5 linked regions of the Xenopus tropicalis genome follow. The protein of the gene in region 1 interacts with the protein of each later gene in a pairwise test. Links are inferred from orthologs where the notes say so. Each region holds a gene or a part of one and is shown in the gene's direction. Other genes may lie near its edges.

Region 1 (4,163 bases):
GTATCACCTGGCAAAAAAAACCCAGCATATCCCACATATCCTTTGGTTCAAAGATAAACCGTCATAAATATGAATGCAAGGAACAGGAATGAGCAAATTTTGCCTTACCATTGAATTCAACTAATTTATTTGCATTTGCAATTACAAATTCAAGCAAGAAAATAATTATTTCAGATTAACATCAGTGGTCAATACCCCAGATCCACCACTCCACCAAGCAGTCACTTATTCCCTACTTTGCTCATTGCTTGGGGTGAAGCAAAAAAGCAACATTTGATCTGCTTCTGCACCCAAAAGCCCTTAAAGGTCTTAAAATCTATTATCTGTGGCAGATCTAGTTAAACTTAAGAACAAAGGATTTGCCCAAATCTGAATAATGCAAAAAGTGATGGGATTCAGCTGAGTCCTGCATTCATTCCTAGAAAACATTAATCCATAATACTATAAATGATGAATAGACATGGCATTTAGATGGTTTAACCAGAACAAAATGTAAAATAATACATACAAAGGATACAGTCTGAGAGGTTTAGTATTTTCAGTGACAGAAGAAAAAAGGAAACAGCTTTATTTATGCCTTTACAGTGAAATAAAGCATCAGCAATATTAGAAAAACAGTATTACTGAAAGAAGCAATAATAGCATACATATGGAGGATTTAGAGACCTACAGTAAAAAAATATAAAAGAGAATCATCTAGAAAATGGCCACTAAAATAAGATATGCATGTTTAATTAGCAAGATATATTCCAGTGTATCAAGAAAATTAAAATTGTTCAGGATGGCAGAACTATAGAGGCTAATTATACAGCATCTCTATCGGCTGGAGTGTTTTGAAGTGATGATAACTTTATACAAAGAAATCTATATTGTTTCTGGGCAGCATATTTTATTTGGTTTATGGGCTATAAATTTGACAATGGTGCAGTGTAAGCAGTCGTAACAGAAAATGTGTTGAAGTGGCACAGATGGATTGACTTGAATTACTTTCTCTGAATATTGCATTTGTTAGCATGTTGTTCCTGAGTCCATAAATAACAAAATAACTCCACTCATAAAGGGATCCTCCTGTTATCCTGTTTACAGAAAAGGTTCCCTTAGATTACTCACTACTTCATGTGATAGCTTTGCAAACTTTCAGGGACTGCAGGAAATCTGAACCCACAGTACAGACATAGGAATGTGAGATGTCCGTCCCCACCATCTGCATGTGACCAGCATACAGACTATATATAGGAGGGTCTGCACAGAAATCAGGAGCTAATCTTGGAACAAGAAACACTACTTGACTGGAAAGAAAAGATTCGCACCGAGGACTGTTAAATAAAGTCACACTAAGGACACAAGAGGAGAGACCTAAAAGCTACGACTGAAAATAAAGAAGATAATTTGTCAAAATGGATTACAATTCAGAAATTATCCGGGAGAATAATCCCATGGATAGTCTTGAAAAGCAGTTAATCTGCCCTATTTGTCTGGAAATGTTCAACAAGCCTGTGGTAATACTACCATGCCAGCACAACTTGTGTAGAAAGTGTGCCAATGATGTGTTCCAGGTGAGAAGAACTTCTCTGGTGAAGAGTAACCAGCTTTTAATGTATGCATTAGCCCACTCTTTTGTGAAACAGCCTAGTTGCTATTATACATTATTATGTTATATTATGCTTTATTTTCCTGCATGCTCATATAATGCTTTTTATGTGGCCTGTTGCCTTTATCTGTAACTTCCGGTTACCATCAAGTATATGCATCATTTGTTTGGGGAAGTCATTCCTAAAATAATCTCTGTCTCTGTCTGTTACTCTTTTTTCACAACCATTATACAGAGTGGTTCAAATATAATATGCATTAGAAATCAAATGCTATATTAGCCATCAGTATTTATAAATAATGTTACAGTTGCAAACACTTATATGTGGATAACATTTTCGTTCTTTAAGATATGTGGATATAATAACGCTTCAGTTTTTGATTTTAGGCTGGTAACCCATATTGGTCTACAAGGAGTTCAGTATCTGGAGGGCGATTCCGCTGCCCAACCTGTCGTCATGAAGTTATCTTAGATCGTCATGGAGTATACGGTCTCCAGAGAAACCTGCTGGTAGAAAATATAATAGATATCTACAAACAAGACTGTACTAGGTAAGAAAAAAATAGGCAATAATTAGTGCTGTAGAATCTGTTATTGTGGACACAGTGGTAGATAATCTATGCTAGTTACTACAAAATCACTCTCTCTGTGTCTTTCCCACTACTCAGTCGGCCTGAAAAGAAGGAAAACCATCCAATGTGTGAGAAACATGAAGATGAAAAAATAAATATATATTGCCTCAGCTGCCAGGTAGCAACATGCTCTATGTGCAAAGTGTTTGGAGTTCATAAAGACTGTGATGTGTCTCCCCTCCAGAACGTGTATCAGAGTCAGAAGGTGAGAGAAACACAAGAAGCAACTTCATGCAAACTAGGGTTACACCATTTGCCATAACCATAATATCAGCCACCCTGGCGGAAGCAAGTGAACACACAGCAGGGTATCACAATCACTTCATGCAATGGCTTATTTAGTGTTTATGATGACACACAGTAACTACATGGACAAACTAACCACCACTAAGACTTAATATACATTATATTAAAAAGGACAGAATCACACAAACAGTTGCAAACTGCTATCTATTATCTATCTAAGCATATGCATAGTGCTTGCTTTATTGACTGGCCTGTAGCAGCACAACCAGTCACACAAACAACATTAAAAGTGTTGCATAGTTAATTTTTCAAGGTCCCACATAGTCCTGAGTCTCTTGGTAGCTTTTTACTTCTTATTTATAGATACAGCATAGTCAAGTCAGCTGATATATTTAGAAAGAGTTGAGGCTGCAGTGTAGTGTCACAGCTGTGTGGGGGTGTGAAGGAAGAGCAGGTTGAAGAGGGTCATTTGACCTGACCACTATTAAAGGATATTCAGCTTTATCATTTCTAATCTAAGTGTTAATTTACATACATTTAATAAGTTTCAGCTCCCAATGTTCTCACCACATTTTTTGTTGAAAAAAAAAATAGTATCTTCTATATTATTCATTTAGCCCTTTTATTTGCAGTGCCAGCTCATCAACGTATATACTATATTTATATATAGTATATTTATTTATTGGACCTGTTTTTTTAGGCATATTGTGCCTTTAGTTATGCTTTCTGGCTTTTTATTTCACTACTAATATACATCAATTTTTAACTCCCTTAATTATAACACATTTTTATTTTTTCTTTGCTATCTCTATTCTTACAGACAGAACTGAATAGCTGCATATCGATGCTGGTAGCGGGTAATGATAGAATTCAGTGTATTCTTAGCCAGCTGGAAGAATCATGCAAAACTATACAGGTGAGAAATTTCAAGAACTTTACTTTACATGGAGACAGCAGTGCATGAATCCTGGAGTTTCCTACACATACAGATCAATCTATATAGCTGATACAAGTTAAATGAGCAATGTACAGTGGATGTGAATAGTATTTTTTACCCAGCCTATTGGATATCTGGCCAATACCCAACCAGTTATCAGTCAGGTAGGCCCCTTTTTCACCTCTTGTATTGGTTATTGGTTGCATTGTATGTATCTGTATGTTTAATTTATACACCCATTTTTGTACAGTTCTGCGGAATACATGTTAATAATAATAAGGGCTGTCTATCCAGAATACAGTTTAGTGTAGTATATGTTTGCTCCAAAGTAACATCAAAGGAAACCATAAATCCGACTTACTTGCCTAAGAGGTGTTTGAGGGTTGTTACTGATCACTTACAGAGATTAGTGAGTTTGACTGTTCTTTCTTTAATCATCCCATTTAGGAGAACAGTCAGAGTAAAAAGGAGTCTGTGAAAGAGATGTTTGAGACACTTTTCAGGAACCTGGAGGAGAAAAAGACTCATCTGGTACAGCGGATTTCACAAGCTGAGGAAGAGAAGTTGAACTTTGTGCGTTCTCTCATTGTACGGTATCAGGAACAGCTCCAGTCCTCATCCAATGTGCTACAGAATGCTTTTCAGGCTATGGAACAGCCTGGACCTGCTAACTTTCTTCTGGTAATTTACTGGGACTTCCAACATAAATGCCTCTACATGCATATTTATAAAGACGAGTAAAAAAAAAAAGTGGCAT
Region 2 (3,514 bases), on another chromosome or scaffold:
TTTATCTTTAAAATGACATTGTCCTTTAAAAGTAAACAGTGCAGCAACATTATTGAGAAAATTTACATTCAAATTTTCTACTTTGGTTTCTACTTTTTTTCTACTGTTTAGCCAATTTAATATTTGCATGATCTTGCAGAGTAAATTGTACTATTCAGTTCTCCATTCTTAGTTAATTGTTAATGTAAATTGTTAATGTTACAGAATGTCTTAAGGTGCCCATACACCTTAAGATCCGCTTGGCGATGTCGCCAAGCGAGCGTATCTTCTCTCGATATCCCCCACCTACGGGTGGGCGATATCAGGAGAATCCAGGCTAATTCGATAGTTTGGCCCTGGGGCCAAACGATCAAATTATAATGTCGGGCATAGGAAAAGTCGGTCCGGGGACCGCAACAACGAGCCGATGCGGTCCCCGATCCGACTAGATTTTTAAACCTGCCCGATCGAGATCTGGCCGATTGGTTTTCCCTTTTCTCTGTAATAATAACACAGTACATTGTACTTGATCCCCATTGGGTTTAATTACTGTTTAAATATTTTTTAGTGGACTTAAGGTAGGAGATCTGAATTATGGAAAGACCCCATATCCAGAAATCCCCAGGTCCTGAGCATTCTGGATAATAGGTTCTATACCTGCAATACGCTATTGGAGAGATGATCATGTAAATTTAAAATATGCTTTGCTGATGACCCCATCTATGCAAATATTAATAAATATATCTAATTGCGCACTATCGTTTGGTCATTGCAGATGTGTATTCCTTTGATGAAGAGGAAGCAGTTATAGATCCCCACCTGGCCAAGCACCTTGCGCACTTTGGCATTGATATGCTGCAGATGCAGGGAGTACGTGTTTTCTTACTAATAATGATCATCCTTATGTTTATAGAGGTCTTTTACAAAGCACAGTTTAATGCATTACTGTATAGTAGCATAACCAGTCTGTATTAGGAGGTATCTCATCTAAGCACCATGATGCTTATAAATAAATAGCAATTGTAAAGACATGATCCCTATTTAGTGATTATGACCTCTCGGCGTTTTCTTGTTGACATGATGCTTATTGGCTCTCTTTTAGAGTGAGAATGGTGTCCTGGACAATGAAGTCAAACCAAGAGTTAATGAGTGGGAGGTTATCCAAGAAACTGGATTAAAGTTAAAGCCAATGTTTGGCTCTGGCTACACTGGCATTAAAAACCTTGGGAACAGCTCCTACCTCACTACAGTGATGCAAGTCATCTTTAGCATCCCTGAGTTTCAGAGAGCGTGAGTATCCTTGAATGTATTGGAACTCTTTGTATTTTTTGTTTCATATGTCATTACAAAGGTGACCACTACAGTACAGCTGAGAGCATGTGGTTTTTCTCTAGATTAGAATTCCACGTGTCAACCCATGTTATGATCCTTTAATTTTTTAAACTAAGGAGCATTCTATAGCCTGTACATAAAATTGCAAATTAATGCAACAAGCAAACCAATTTGTCTCTAGAGTTTAGTGGAGATCTGACTGGTATTTTAAACAGGTCTTCTTTGATTGATGTGCAGGTCTATCCGTTTTAGATGGTGCATTCTTTAGTTTAGTCTGAAATCTGTAAATGTCAGTCTTCCTATTCAAACCATAATTCATGGAATTAATTCTATGTAGTGGTGTGCAGACCAGCCTGAAACCCACAAGTCGGGTGGGTTTGGCCAACATTAGCAAAAGATTTGTGGATTGTAGGTGGGTTCAGGCTTCCTTTTGCCCTGCCTGTGTCCTTACTGTACCCCATTTCTGCCTATGATAGCCTCTGTTTATAGGTGTGCGCTTGCACCGCCCCCTTCATGACACAGAGATGGGGCAGGTCAGACACAAGTCAAAATAGAGGTGTATTCCCGGGTTGGGTTAGGAGCAGGCAGGTTAGGGCTGATGCACATCACTAAATCTGTGGTCATAGATATAAATATGTGATGTGGCATTTTGGATTATAGACCAAAAATGACATACAGGTATGGGACCTGTTATCTAGAATGCTCGGGACCTGGGGTTTTCCGTATAAGGGATCTTTCCGTAATTTGGATCTCAACAATTTAAGTCTGCTAAAAATCATTTAAATAATTAATAAACCCAATAGGCTTGTTTTGCCTCCAATAAGGATTTATTATGTCTCAGCTGGGATCAAGTACAAGCTACTGTTTTTTTCGGAGCGTTAAAACTTTTCTCGCCTTTTTCGTAGCCATTCCGAAAGTTGCGCAAAATGTTGCGATTTTTTTCGTAGCGCTCGGATTCATTCAAGCTTCAGTATGGTGACTTTTCTTGGGCCAGGTTGGAGCTGCAGGGTGCCATTGAGTCCTATGGGAGGTTTCCAAAATCATGCTAAGTCTGAAAGTTTCGCCCGCCGCTTATGAGCGCTCAATACGAAAAAGTCGCGTCAAGATACGAGCGAATCATAATGGATACGAAAAAAATCGTATTGGTAACGAAAAAGTCGCGACAATTTCCGAAAAGTCGTAAAGGCGCCGAAAAAATCGCAAAAAATACGAAAAAGTCACAAAATTTTCGTTTTCCAATCGGAATTTTTCCAATTCGGATTCGTGGGTTAGTAAATGTGCCCCTTAATCTGTTTTCACACTCCAGATGGAAATCTAAAAAAATGGCTGTGCCCTGGTAATATTTAAATATATTTTTGCATGCTAATTTCAGGTACCTCTTCTGTAAACCATCTAACTATTCCAGGATTACAAACATTAATGCATTATGGTAAACACATGCAAGCAAAAATAAGGTAGAAAATATCTAGTAGTGGAAGTGTTTTCATTTGTGTTCTGTTCATTTCTCCCAGATCAGGGAGACCTAATATGAGCAAATAGACCCAGAAAGAATAATTTGGCAGCATGTATAGATGTATGCAATAGAATACCACTCTTTCCACCCTCTCTGCAACAGTGTGGGACTGGCCCACCAAGATACCAGGAAAACTCCCGGTAGGCCCATGTGTCAGGTGGCCCTCTTGCTCACACAACCATTTGCCTTTTATGCCTATACCATGGACATTACTCAATTCTATGGGGCTGATTTACTAATCCACGAATCCGAATCCCGAACGGGAAAAAATCGGATTGGAAACGAACATTTTGCGACTTTTTCGTATTTTTTGTGTTTTTTCCGTCGCCGTCACGACTTTTTCATAAATTGTTGCGACTTTTTCGTAGCCGTTACGATTTGCGCGAATTGTCGCAACTTTTTCATAGCCGTTACGACTTGCTCGTATATTGTCGCGACTTTTTCGTATTGAGCGTTCGTAAACGGCGGGCAAACCTTTCAGACTTTGCATGATTTTGGAAGCCTCCCATAGGACTCAATGGCACTCTGCAGCTCCAACCTGGCCCAAGGAAAGTCTCCCATAGGGCTCAATGGCACTCTGCAGCTCCAACCTGGCCCAAGGAAAGTCACAATACTGAAGCTTGAATGAATCTGAAACTTTCGTACTCGGCGCGACCGCTAGGAAAAAGTCGCGACAATTTGCGCAAGTCG
Region 3 (4,304 bases), on another chromosome or scaffold:
TTCTGCACTGTCCTGATGGTAGTAAATTATCCCTCAGATCTATAACTAGGCTTGTGTGGTTTCTTACATCTGTTGAAAACAGTGGCACGTCCATTTCCAAATGTGTTATCAAAGATGTATCTTAATAGTAGCAAAGTTCTGGACATCTTGGGCCCTATTTAATGAACTAAAAATACTAAACATTTATTTTCAGGTTCTTAATAATGACTGGGTCCGTATAGCAGCAGTGTTGGTAACACTCATTTTCAGAATGAGGTGACGCATGTTAAATAACACAGATACAGAAGCAGCTTCTGATGTTTTTAAATATTTTAGCTGTACAGAGAACTACACACACACAAACACACACACACACACACATACAGTATATGTATATATATAGGAGGTGTGTATACATATACACTGTGCATATTTAATAACATTCATATATTTTGCATTTGACAAATTGTGGTTTTCCGTGATATTTTAGTAATAACTAATGAAAAAAAACCAGTAAAAAATTCAAAACTATGCCAACTACTAGCAGCTGAGGCCAAGTAGAAGTCAATGGGCAAATTACAAGTAACAATATGTATTTATTCGTGGTTTTAGAGGTTTATGGGGCTTTATTATTTTCAAGCGCACAAAAATTCTTCCAAAAATGAAACATTTTAGGTTGTCTTGTTCTTTTCATTTTTGTTCCACATTTTAATTTAATTGTGCTTTTTATATCCGGATCTTTTAATAAATGACTAGACCAGTGATCCACAATCAGTGGTTCACCACCCTTTTGATGTTGCTCCCAGTTGCCTCAAAGTAGGTGCCCATTTTTACATTTCTGGCTTGGAAACAAGTTTTAGAAATATAGAGACAAACTTTTACTCCAAGCAGAGCCTCCTGCAGACCAGCAGTCCACATGGGGCTGCCAAATAGCCAATCACTGTCCTTTCCCAAAGAACTTTGTGCGTGCTTGTGTGGCTTTAGTTAAAGCTGAACATGCCCGTTGTGTGCCCACATCTTGTGCTTTATACACCAGTGGAGCAACTACCAAAGTGGTGTGTGGCACTAGAATAGAATTACATTTGGCAATTATATGGGCGTAGTTCTGAGACCATTTTAGCACTGTACCTTGTGACTGTAAATGTAACCCTTTTTTCCAAATGGGGCTGAGAACAAGCCTTGCCTCAATAAACCAAATCTAATATTTACATTAGTATTCAATGTGCAACATGTCAGGATGAAAAGGATGAAGATAAAATCACCCTCAGTCTTTTTAATTGCATATAATAGTGAAATATTCCTCGCTGACTGTATTTCTTTTTCACTCTGTGCTGAGATGGACATCAGGACTGCTGAGACCCACCTTTTTTTCTCTTTCCTCCGTGCTATTGCTATCTGAGATCCCCCTTACTCCTTTTACTATTAATAAACTTCAGGATGCCACAGCAACATCCAAGAGTCAAATGTACTGCACTCTGCATCAGCACTTTGAGCTGTGCAGATACCCCGGATACACGTCCTTCTTGTTGCTGCCCTCTGAGAGACAAGACACAAGGGAGCCAAATTAATAAAAAGGAAAGAATCCGCAAGAGGACGTTTACAATTATAACATCAAAGAAGCTCCCATCTCTCCTCCTTTAGCTGATCTCCAGTTCCTGCGAAAAAGTAAGCACATCAATAATCAATTCGGGTCTTATGAGTAACTAGAGAATAGCCAATTATCTTTAAAGGTATTGGAACTTTAAAAAAATACAATTTTAAACAAATAATTAGAAAAATTCTTTTGGGCACTAAAGTTCACAAGCTGAAACTGAAGATGCGGGCAGTGAATACTGCTGACACTGCAAAGTCATATTCTTGGGTATGAGATGTGTGTAGACTGCAGCCAAATGCTTTCTGGGTAACGTGAGATCTGCTTAGACTGTTTTAATAGGCTTTCTCTCTGCTGACTACCTAGAACTTTTAACGACCTGCTGAAGTTCTGGTTATTTTTTTGTGGAAATAGCAATATATACATTTGTAAAACATTTTAAGTTTGTAGGGTAAACTGATAAAGGACTACTTAGACCCACCTTTTTTTTCTTTTTCCTCCTTGTTATTACTATCTGAGATTTCCGAAATGATTAAACTTATATATATATATATGTCCTGATACAAACTAGGGGTTTGTGAAGTTTTTTCCAGTAAGTAAGCAGTTTCAAAAATATCAGGCAATTACTCTAAGGACTACATTCCTCCATGGGCAAAAAAGAGCAAAGAAGCAGTAGGAGTGTAACTATTCCTGGCAAAACTGGTAACCTTGCTGTAATTCTAACCCTAACACTGCTGGTAGTCTTTTTGCAGGAAACATTTTCCCAGATAAATAAAGAATGCACAAGGTTGTTGGTCAAAATCAGAGATTCAGTCTTTAAAAAGTGCATTACAATGTTGCACATTTTTTAACTTTTGCTTAAATGATAAGAGGTATTTTTGTTCTATTCATATTTAATTAGCACAATCGTTATTTTAACTCTTGCTGATTCTCTTAAAAAGAAAATCCAATATAATGTAACTGTATATTGTGAATATTTGAAACCCCTTACTTGAGTCTTGTTTGCTTCTGGAATGTTAGAAAGACTCCAGAAATGGAACAGCGCTGTAGGCACCTGATTGTATGTCTGATAAATATAAATGAATTAGGAATAAAATCATGATTAGCTTGTCTGTTAACATAACTATCACAGCTAATCTAGTCTAATTTTTAAGGTAGCTGTGTTGGCCAAACACTTCCAGTGTCACATTTCCTGCTCCCTTGGAGACTTGGCAGAGTGATTATTGTACATTGTGTATGCATGCTTGGGCAAACCCATTTGGCACTTTCTGTAGAGCACAGATTAAAAAATAAAACTGGGTGTAAAACTCCCATATGCAGTATATGTTATGGAAACAGAGTATAGTCCTTAAAAAAAACATTTCTATTTCCTACTTTCGAAACCTGCAAATATATTTGCAATTTGAAATATTAAACAGAATTGCAATTACTGCTGAACATATTGCATCTCCCTTTAGTGGTGCTCTTCAAGCATTTCTGGTATTTTATTTTCTGTTTTGGTCTTGATTAAACTTGTGTTTGTCAGATTGCAACCTACTATGTCCCTTGGAAGGCATCCAGAACTTTTTTGCCAGTAAATTTAAAACCCATCAGGGCAAGCCCATCAGAGTCTTTTGGTGACATTTTAAACCACTCCTGTGTCAGTAATGACGTTTTTATTGACCACTTTGGATTAAAAATAGTATCTAGGTTTGTCCTATTTGCACTAGCTGAGCTAATAGGCATAGGAGATCCCAAAAAGGGAATGTGTAATAATGCAAAAGAAGTGTCTCTGATAATAAAACCTTCTCCAGTTCCAGACTCCAGTACATTTAGCCAAGATATCACTGACTGCTCTACAGGCATAACGCAATTAGAATGTATATTCAAAATTTAGGTATGAGCCTGCATTAAAGCATAAGTACTACTACGGTTATCATTGCTATGTTCTTAATAGCAACCTATGCCATGAAGATGACTTGGGCAATTGCCTTTGCAGTTTGTTGCAGTATGTACTGAACCTACAGGGGGTGTGGAGGTAAAAACTGCTCCTGTGCCCTGTTACCTCATAGAGATCCTTGGGAACAGACAATTCTTCCACTGTGCTATGTGCAGGATTTAATATGGATAGACTTAGGTGGTTGGTATAATAAAATGGCCCAGGGTCATATTTTAACTGTTTTTGGTCCAAAGTACAACCCAGCAGTCAACTACCACCAGGTTGTGAGTTGCCATGTAATATATTAACAGTTATAAATATGAAAAGATTGCAATTCAGTAAGTTCATATTTGCTCATATGATCAGGTGGCTTAACTGATTGTTAAGCCCAAAGGAATTTAAAGGGAAGTGCCCCCCTATCATTTCCTATTGGCCAATAATATGTCACACACAGATCATCAGAACAAGAGGAACAGATTCTACATCTTTTTGTAAAATATGGTCTGATAAGGGCCAGACAGACAACACAAGGAATTTGAGAAGAATTACTTATCCAACTTATCCAGTTACTTATCCGGTTTCTGTATCTTGTTAATTAAAGCAAATAAACACAAATCATTCTGCATATTTTCACTTTTTTAACATCTCCAGGAATAAAAATTTGCAGAGGAAGATGAAAAGCAGAAAAGATAAATTCTGGTAAATTAGGTCTCTTAAAAATGACACAAAATCAAATGTTTGATTTAGTTTAGGAAGAATCAAGAGGGTTGATACAGAGAATCTGTCACATACAGACCTAATGACCCTAAAGGTGGC
Region 4 (4,053 bases), on another chromosome or scaffold:
CGGGGAACAAGGGAGTGGCTGGGTATGGGTGGCAGTGTGCATCTATGGAGGGGCCATTGCAAGACAAAAAGCCCAGATAATACGCCAAGTGCCTTAGCACTGACTAATATGCCTTTTTGGGAGGCTGACAGGGCCAGAATGTGTGCTCTAGAGCAGTGGTTCCCAACTTTTTTTGCACCACGGACCGGTTTCAAGCAAGACAATTTGTCCAAGGACCGGGGATGGGGGGTGCGGCGCAACTAGTGCTAGTTAAATTTTATATTATGCACTTTACTATTAATATTATTATTACATACAGCTTAATAAAGTACTTTGGTCCTTGTCGTAATCAGTAGAAATCTTCCTGGGCTTCGAATAGCTATTGTCATGGCTGTGTAAAGCATCAGGGAGTTGGGATCACAAGTAATATGGAGCAGTGGTGGCCCATTTCAGCACAGCCCACGGCCCGGCACCGGTCCCCGTACCGGTGGTTGGGGACCCCTGCTCTAGAGGAGCCGGTGTGGTCCAAAGTGCCAGCTTGGTGCCCATGAAATGCTATTTTGCATCATGTCCAGTAGAGGTCAGCACCACCCTGCTGCTTTTCTGTATGTGGGCAGTAATACAGGAATGCCCTGGGTGAGCGAATTCCTTAGCCCCCAGCAGGATTACAGGCCAGAGGACTATCTGTGTGTCTGCTAGAGACGAATAAACCCCAAACAATTAGAAGAGAATGCTGAGATAGCCTGCTGTGGGGCGGGAGGAGCGGAGAGACAGGTGTGAGGGTGCATTGGGTGGGACCTTTTTAGAAGAGAAAGCTGCTAGGGATAAGTTGCATAGCTGAGATTGAAAAGGGTACTAGCTGTTTTGGTTGGGGGGGATAAGTAAGAGGGAAGTATCTGCTTTGGGAAAGTAATGGGATCTGCAGAGAACAGCACATTAACCCTTTAGTGGCTGAGATGCCTCCTACTTTAGATTTGTATCTCTAGACCCTCCCAGAAGGTTAAGCGCACTGCCCATACCATGCTCCCAGTGCCATGACAGTAGGCATTTGGGGGCCAATGTTATTTAAGGAATGCCCCACTGTTCACAATGCTGACCACCAGCAGATACAGGGTTAAGTCTTAAGATGGGCTGCAAGGGAGGGTCAAAGTATTTGTGTCACCCGCCTCGTGATTGGTCGGAGGTTGTTTGCATGCCCTTACTGAGCCAGGCAGCTTTTACCCCTGGGCACCCCCCCAGCACATTAATACCCCCCTCACAACACAGCGCTGCCAGTCCCACCCCTGCTTCATAGAGAGGGCTCAGTCTACGAGGGTCAGGTAAGGAACAGCCCCTGGGGGGCAAAGGCAGAGGCATGTGTATATACAATAAATGGATTTCTGTCTGTCAGTACAGTATGTGCATGAGATTAATTAGGGTCCTGCCTGGGCAACTTGCAGCCGAGATCTCTGCCTATACACAAGCCCCCTATCCCCCTAGCTCATTCATTACACTGTTCAGCCCACTATAAATAAATTACCTACATTTATTATAACCTATTCAGTCATACATTCTCTGTGCTTTAAAACAACAAGCTACAGAATTCCCTGTAAAACAAGAGTTAATATTTAACATTTACTTACATTACAACCTCCATTCACAATAGCAAAACCCAACCGGGGAGGGGGGATTTAACACCACGACCCTATCGTGAGAATTTTAATTGAATTTGTATATATTAACGATGCCAGTGAACTTCATGTATTGCGCAAATATTGGCAAGCACACAATTTTATCTACGTGCTTTCAGCAGCCTCGGTTCCACATATATAGATATAGTATGTTGGGGAAAAATCATTATTTTATAGTCATTAATAACAATTATATGTAATAGATCCCTGCCAGAGTTTAATGAGTGTATGAATGTACATTTAAAGTAACAAATTATCTGTGTATTTGTATTAACTGCTTAGAATTCCCGGCATTTACAGTTTAACCTGAAGGGAGGGGATGGCTGTTAATTAAAGAGTTAACAGACCATTCTCCACCGATTCCCTTTCTCTTAAACACACTTCACTTGTATAGATTTCTATTCAGCATTTGATTATCATGCCCCATAGTCTCTGTACAGAGCAACAAGGCTGCTCCATGCTCGGTACCATTATAGAATGTTGCTTAGTTATTGTTTTTAAGTGTTATGTTGTGTAGTAGACACTTACAATGACCCATTTTGTGCATGGAACCCATACCCACCCATTTGGAACTGATGTTTAATTCATTACAGGACCCCCTTTTGTAGCATGAAACATATATATATATTCCTGATAGAACCTATAGATACAAATGTATTAGATGGAACCATATATGTAGAATAAGTAAGGGTAGGGTACAACAGACTAGCTGCCAATATATTTTTTATATATATTTATATAAATATATATATATATACAGGCATGGGATCCCTTATCCGGAAACCCGTTATCCAGAATGCTCCGAATTATGGAAAGCCCATCTCCCATAGACTCCATTTTAATCAAATAATTCAGAATTTTAAAACTGATTTCTTTCTTCTCTGTAATAATAAAACAGTACCTTGTAATTGATCCCAACTAAGATATAATTACCCCTTATTGGAGGCAAAACAATCCTATTGGGTTTAATTACTGTTTTATTGATTTTTTAGTAGAGTTAAGGTATGGAGATCCAAATTACGGAAAGACCCCTTATCAGAAATACCCTTGGTCCCAAGCATTCTGGATAACGGGTCCTATACCTGTATATATATTATATATATCTCTCTTTTAACCCCAACTATGGGCCTGCTGAGCCCTATTGTTCTACCATGTATGCCTGTGCCCAAAGACTTACCACTACTCTTTCCCTCATTGCCCCAATTGGCATTGCTTCCCAGCCCATGGTTCGGTGAAAGGCTAGATTTGGGAGATTTTCCTAATTCCGGAGGATTTGTGCCCAAGTTGCCTGTGCTGAAAGAAGGAGATATTTGGAAATATGACCTGCGTCCGCCACCACTGATTGAGAACCTTGGTTTCAAGCATTATTATAATATTCCGCAGCCTACAGGCTGTAAATCTGGGGCAAATATTACTCAGCATTATAGGGCATTGAGTGGCTTTTATTTTAGCATCTGAAATGGGACCCCCTGAGAGTCAGCGCATGAATGCGAGGAAAGGGAATGAACACATGGCTAAGGTTTCTTCACCTGTGACCTCATTCATTAGAAGGGCCTGGCAAGGAGGGATCCATAGAGAAAGGGTGAGACAGCTGTCATGCCTTAAAGGCTCCGTGGGATATTTTCGGAAAGTCTTGCAAAGTTGCTGATATCTCCAAAGGGGATCAGATGACTTCAAATAGGGTGGCGGGGTGTCCCATCTCTGCTCCCCCTGCCAAGGTTCTATTTAGAGGCCGGCCAGCGGTGGCAGAGGAAGGGACATCCAAGGAGCTGAGTTCATTGGGGAATTTCAGACTAATCCTTCCATCAGTCTGTGCCTAGGCTGGTATGTGAGCGGGGCTCAGCGTGTTCCTTACAGGGATTCTTTGCCAAAGAGTTATATCTTGGGGGGCAGGACTTCATGTGCTGAATTTTGTGTCTTTGTGTTTTGTGCTCAGGTATCACAGAAACCGCCAAGATGGGTGAAGAGTGAGTAAAAACCTCTTTGGGTCAAACCATGTTCTCTCTGTCTGTCTCTATATTATATCTGACTAGTATCTGTCTTATTCTTTCTAATCTATCTGTCTATCTATCTATCTATCTGTCTATAATCTATCTATCTATCTATCTATCTATCTATCTATCTATCTATCTATCTAATCTATCTATCTATCTATCTATCTATCTATCTATCTATCTATCTATCTATCTATCTATCTATCATCTATCTATCTATCTGTCTATAATCTATCAATCTATCTATCTATCACCTATCTATCTAATCTATCTATCTATCTATCTATCTATCTATCTGTCTATCTTCTATCTATCTATCTATCTATCTATCTGTCTATCTATCTATCTATCTATCTATCTATCTATCTGTCTGTCTTCTATCTATCAGGCATATATCTGTCTCTATTAAC
Region 5 (3,994 bases), on another chromosome or scaffold:
TACATTAACATGCATAATATTTGATTGTTTTGGTTGATACTGATACACGAAGAGGGAAAGACTATATTAAAACAATTCTATAAATATGTTTTAACAATTCCACAGTTTAGTTAGGAAACCTATTGAATATTTATCATAATTTGAAATACTTTGATATAAAGCTAGGTACTCCAGCCAACTACTAATACACACCACTTTATAAAGAGGCAGAATAATGTTCTCCTCTTGTGTGTCAGGGTTGATGGTCTTCAGGAGGATTTGATCTTGTTGCATGAGCAAATGGCTTATAGGGGAGGTTAAGTAAGGAGGTAAGAGGAAGCAGGTACTGGAGAACAGACAGACCTGTCAATAGTAATACTAGGTACGAGTAGAAAACGATTTGTTCTTTATTTTGGTACAGGTAGGACAGGCATGGTAGCTATTAGTCAAAGTGGCAAGGTTGGGGCTCATAGTGGTAAGGAAAGTTCTGCAAGTACTGGAAGTGGCAATAAAGACAAAGACCAAAGGTAAGGTAACTAATGAGATCAAGTCCAAGTCCAGAGACGGGTCAAGGCAATTTAGAATACAAGGTCAGGAAACAAGCCAAAGGCAAACAACAGATATCCTGCAGAAACAACCTTCTTGGGGACAGGAAATGTGTATCTACAATCAGGCAAGGATATTGATGAATTCGGAGGTTTAAATGTCCAAACTTTGCACCAAACTGTGACGCTGCACATTAGCAATCAAGTCCTTATTGACTTACGATGATGCCAGTGGGGACAGAGAGGCTACATTACGTTTAATACAAAGCAACATTTTGCTAGCTCTAGCTTCTACAGCACTCTCTAGATTTAGGAATCTAGTCACTTTAGAGCAGGGATGCCCAGCCTTTTATTTCCGTGAACCACATTCAAATGGAGAAAGTTTTGGAAAGCAACACAATCATTATAGCCCTTATGATGACTGGAAGTCTACAAAAGGCTCGGTTTGGCAATTACACTGGGTTTTTATGCAATCAAAACTTGCCTCCTAACCAGTAATTCAAAAATAAGCACCTGCTTTGAAGTCACTGGGAGCAACATCCAAAGGGTTGGGGAGCAGCATGTAGCTCACGAGCCACTGGTTGGGGATCACTGGTTTAGAGCATGTACCATTAACAACAACCTGTGCTCTAATAGGCTGAGTGTTTAGAAGATCAAGAGACTAGTTTATTAGAGCAGTTGCTTATGTGCATCTGCTTTAAAAGCTTCTCTGAAATCTAACACCATGTACGCTGAAACAGCTTTCTCTTTATTTCATGTAATAAGCAAGTTTGTTTGACAAGATCTATCACTCACAAAGCCATTTACTCTTTATTTTATTCTACATAATCTAATCCTGTATGTAATTTTGCAGCAAATATACAGATATACAAGTTATGGGAACTATAAATGTCAGGTTGGAACTGTACAACCATTTTGAACATTGGAATTCCTTTGATTTACAACCCATTTGCACCATGCCAGGCAAAAGGGAGCTGAGAAATGAGTTAAGCCATTTAAGTGCTGGTGGGTATATTTCAGCAGAGCTGGTGCTTTATGTTTGCTGTTAAAAGTCTTTTCTTTTTTTCAGAGAGGAAAATATTATATTATGTTAAGTTTTCTGCATTACTAAATCCCAAAACCACTTAATAGGTTTTTTTAATTGGACCACCAATCTCAATCTTAATTTTTTTGGTATGCTTAAATAACTTTTTTTTTATTGTATGTTTTCAACAACATTTGTTTTAAAGGAGAAGGAAAGGTAAAAACTAAGTAAGCTTTATCAGATAGGTCTATGTAGATACAGCCATAAGCACTCACAGAAACGCTGCACTGAGTCCTCTTTCAAAAGAAACACAAGATTTCTTGTCTCTTTGTTTTCCTGTGCCAGAGTCTGCACAGCTCTCTCCTCTCTTCCCTCTCCTGCTCCCCCCTCCTATAAGAATGCTAAGAACTCCCTCCCCCCCTTAGGAATATGTGATCTGAGCCAATCAGCAGGAAGCTTCCTCATAGTCTTACAAACTGTGCATGTATACTGGTCTTGGTGCAGGAGTATGGCATTATGGGAATTTTCTTTACACAGCTCAGCGTTTTTTTTTCCTATGAGGCTTCTGATCATCTGAATGGGAGAAATATGGGGAGACTTAAGGGCACTATTGAGAGAACTGAAGGTATGCCTGCAGCTTGAGATTAACTCTTTATTAGCCTTTCCTTCTCCTTTAATCTTTACATTTTTTTTAAAGACAGTGTTCTCTTTTGTTTATTATTATGTTATTATTTAAAGTCACAGCTAGGGACTTTTTGTGTGTTTTTGCAAAGGGGAGTAAATTGAAAACTGCAATTATTTAATATTGTGTTAGGCAAGCTTTTCTGTTTTTAATATCTATCTATCTATCTATTATATTTATGCAAATGGTGCTTTATTATACTTGTCAGATTTTAATGTCTGTTCATTAATCAAGGAAGAACCTAGTCTCATGTGTATGGCAACCATATACATTTTGGCAAGTAGTCGTGCTAGTAGTTTTCAGGGAGATAACATAGTAAGAATTGCAGCAAATGTGAATCTTCATGAAGCCTGTAGTTACATCAGTTAGGACTTTAAAGTAAACAAGGTACTCTATTATTCCATGACACATTTTCTGTAGTTGTTTGTAAGCAAGAAATATTTGTATTCTGTTTCATTTTTTGTTTTTTTTTGTTGAGCAGTTTGCAAGCATTTTTATCTTCAAGCTGTAAAGAGCCAGAATAAAAAGGCTATAGAAAAAACAGTACAGAAAATGCAATGTGTGACGTAGGCCAAAGGTGTACCCCCGAAGATCTGTAGTTAGAATTTGAATTTTTTTCCTTGATTAAATTTTTTTTGCCCTAACATTCCTAATATTCCAACTATGGTTCCAGAACTCATATGTTCGATATCTATTAAGTGCAAAAAACAAATTCAAGGCCTTTTCTTTTCAATTCAAGATTTTTGAGTTTTTTTTGAGATTGTAAACTCACAAATTCTAGGTATTCTAGTTTTTTAAAATCAATTTTATTCAATCACATTTTTATATTTGGATTTTTTAATAAATAAGCATACATTTGAAAACTGATAAATAAGCTAGATAGTTACAGACTAGTCAGTTGTCATTGTGGGGGGTCCAGTGTGCAAAGTACTCTTAAATATAAGTTTTTAAACTCTATGGGACAGGGTCCCCCTTTCTCTTGTCCTAATATCTAATCTTGAATGTTAACACAATGGGATGTGATAGGGAGTGATTTTAACAGAGGAAAAACGTGCCAGGCAAACCCCCAAGAACCATCACGGACTAAACGTCTCAACAGTAAAAAGAGGGTTTGAACGTGGATGTGTCTTTTTTTTGCCTCAATACACAATATGACATTGTTACATTAAACATAGTTAGAGTAATATTACTAGTTACAGTACATTACTTTATTCTTTATAAATGATAGATAAAGCATCTTATATATATAATGAAGAATGAATGTATTAATTTATCATTTTATTTCAGGAGTGATCTCTTCAAGAAAAAAGGTACCAATGTGGATTATTTCCCAGCATACAACATTGGCAAACCAATAACCTGTACCTTAAGGGTCAACGGCAAGTGTCTGAAAATATGGACCTCTCGTCCCTGCCATCTGTTTCTGCAATGTATCAACCAACAACATTTAATTATGAGCGCCCTAAACATTTTATACAATCAAAACCGAAATGTCAAGTGGAATCCACGTCTCAGTCTACCAATGAAGCTGTACATACAAGCAGGTCACCTAAGAAAATTTCTATTTCAATTCAGCCTCAGCCATGCTCATCATATAACATGAGCTCTGCAGCACCGGTTGCACCATCAAAGTGTAGTAAAACAGAAGTTCATTTACAGCCCCAGTCTTCAAACATTGCATTATCTGGACAAGAAAATGATCAGAGCAAAAATACATCCACTGCATTTCTAGCAATTTCACCTTCCAAGAGTCAAAGTAAACCA

Evidence for each region.
Region 2: the proteins of trim63 (region 1) and usp13 interact in a two-hybrid assay, tested with the Homo sapiens proteins (2 studies listed by BioGRID and IntAct). The link is inferred for Xenopus tropicalis from reciprocal best matches to the Homo sapiens genes TRIM63 and USP13.
Region 3: the proteins of trim63 (region 1) and myoz1 interact in a two-hybrid assay, tested with the Homo sapiens proteins (2 studies listed by BioGRID and IntAct). The link is inferred for Xenopus tropicalis from reciprocal best matches to the Homo sapiens genes TRIM63 and MYOZ1.
Region 4: the proteins of trim63 (region 1) and tnni2 interact in a two-hybrid assay, tested with the Homo sapiens proteins (2 studies listed by BioGRID and IntAct). The link is inferred for Xenopus tropicalis from reciprocal best matches to the Homo sapiens genes TRIM63 and TNNI2.
Region 5: the proteins of trim63 (region 1) and myot interact in a two-hybrid assay, tested with the Homo sapiens proteins (2 studies listed by BioGRID). The link is inferred for Xenopus tropicalis from reciprocal best matches to the Homo sapiens genes TRIM63 and MYOT.

The regions. Positions count from the first base shown.
Region 1 is NC_030678.2:76,885,019-76,889,181, reverse strand, and holds the start of trim63 (E3 ubiquitin-protein ligase TRIM63), read left to right. Parts: upstream 1-1,349; 5' UTR 1,350-1,397; coding exon 1,398-1,556; intron 1,557-1,978; coding exon 1,979-2,142; intron 2,143-2,259; coding exon 2,260-2,428; intron 2,429-3,289; coding exon 3,290-3,385; intron 3,386-3,853; coding exon 3,854-4,087; intron 4,088-4,163. UniProt on the Homo sapiens protein: E3 ubiquitin ligase. Mediates the ubiquitination and subsequent proteasomal degradation of CKM, GMEB1 and HIBADH.
Region 2 is NC_030681.2:108,723,913-108,727,426, reverse strand, and holds part of usp13 (ubiquitin carboxyl-terminal hydrolase 13), read left to right. Parts: intron 1-754; coding exon 755-849; intron 850-1,081; coding exon 1,082-1,269; intron 1,270-3,514. UniProt on the Homo sapiens protein: Deubiquitinase that mediates deubiquitination of target proteins such as BECN1, MITF, SKP2 and USP10 and is involved in various processes such as autophagy, endoplasmic reticulum-associated degradation (ERAD), cell cycle progression or DNA damage response.
Region 3 is NC_030683.2:44,138,240-44,142,543, reverse strand, and holds the start of myoz1 (myozenin-1), read left to right. Parts: upstream 1-1,492; 5' UTR 1,493-1,644; intron 1,645-4,304. UniProt on the Homo sapiens protein: Myozenins may serve as intracellular binding proteins involved in linking Z-disk proteins such as alpha-actinin, gamma-filamin, TCAP/telethonin, LDB3/ZASP and localizing calcineurin signaling to the sarcomere.
Region 4 is NC_030680.2:21,783,812-21,787,864, forward strand, and holds the start of tnni2 (troponin I, fast skeletal muscle), read left to right. Parts: upstream 1-1,251; 5' UTR 1,252-1,298; intron 1,299-3,379; exon of another isoform or gene 3,380-3,473; intron 3,474-3,585; 5' UTR 3,586-3,605; coding exon 3,606-3,616; intron 3,617-4,053. UniProt on the Homo sapiens protein: Troponin I is the inhibitory subunit of troponin, the thin filament regulatory complex which confers calcium-sensitivity to striated muscle actomyosin ATPase activity.
Region 5 is NC_030679.2:31,483,234-31,487,227, reverse strand, and holds the start of myot (myotilin), read left to right. Parts: upstream 1-1,182; 5' UTR 1,183-1,529; intron 1,530-3,517; 5' UTR 3,518-3,625; coding exon 3,626-3,994. UniProt on the Homo sapiens protein: Component of a complex of multiple actin cross-linking proteins. Involved in the control of myofibril assembly and stability at the Z lines in muscle cells.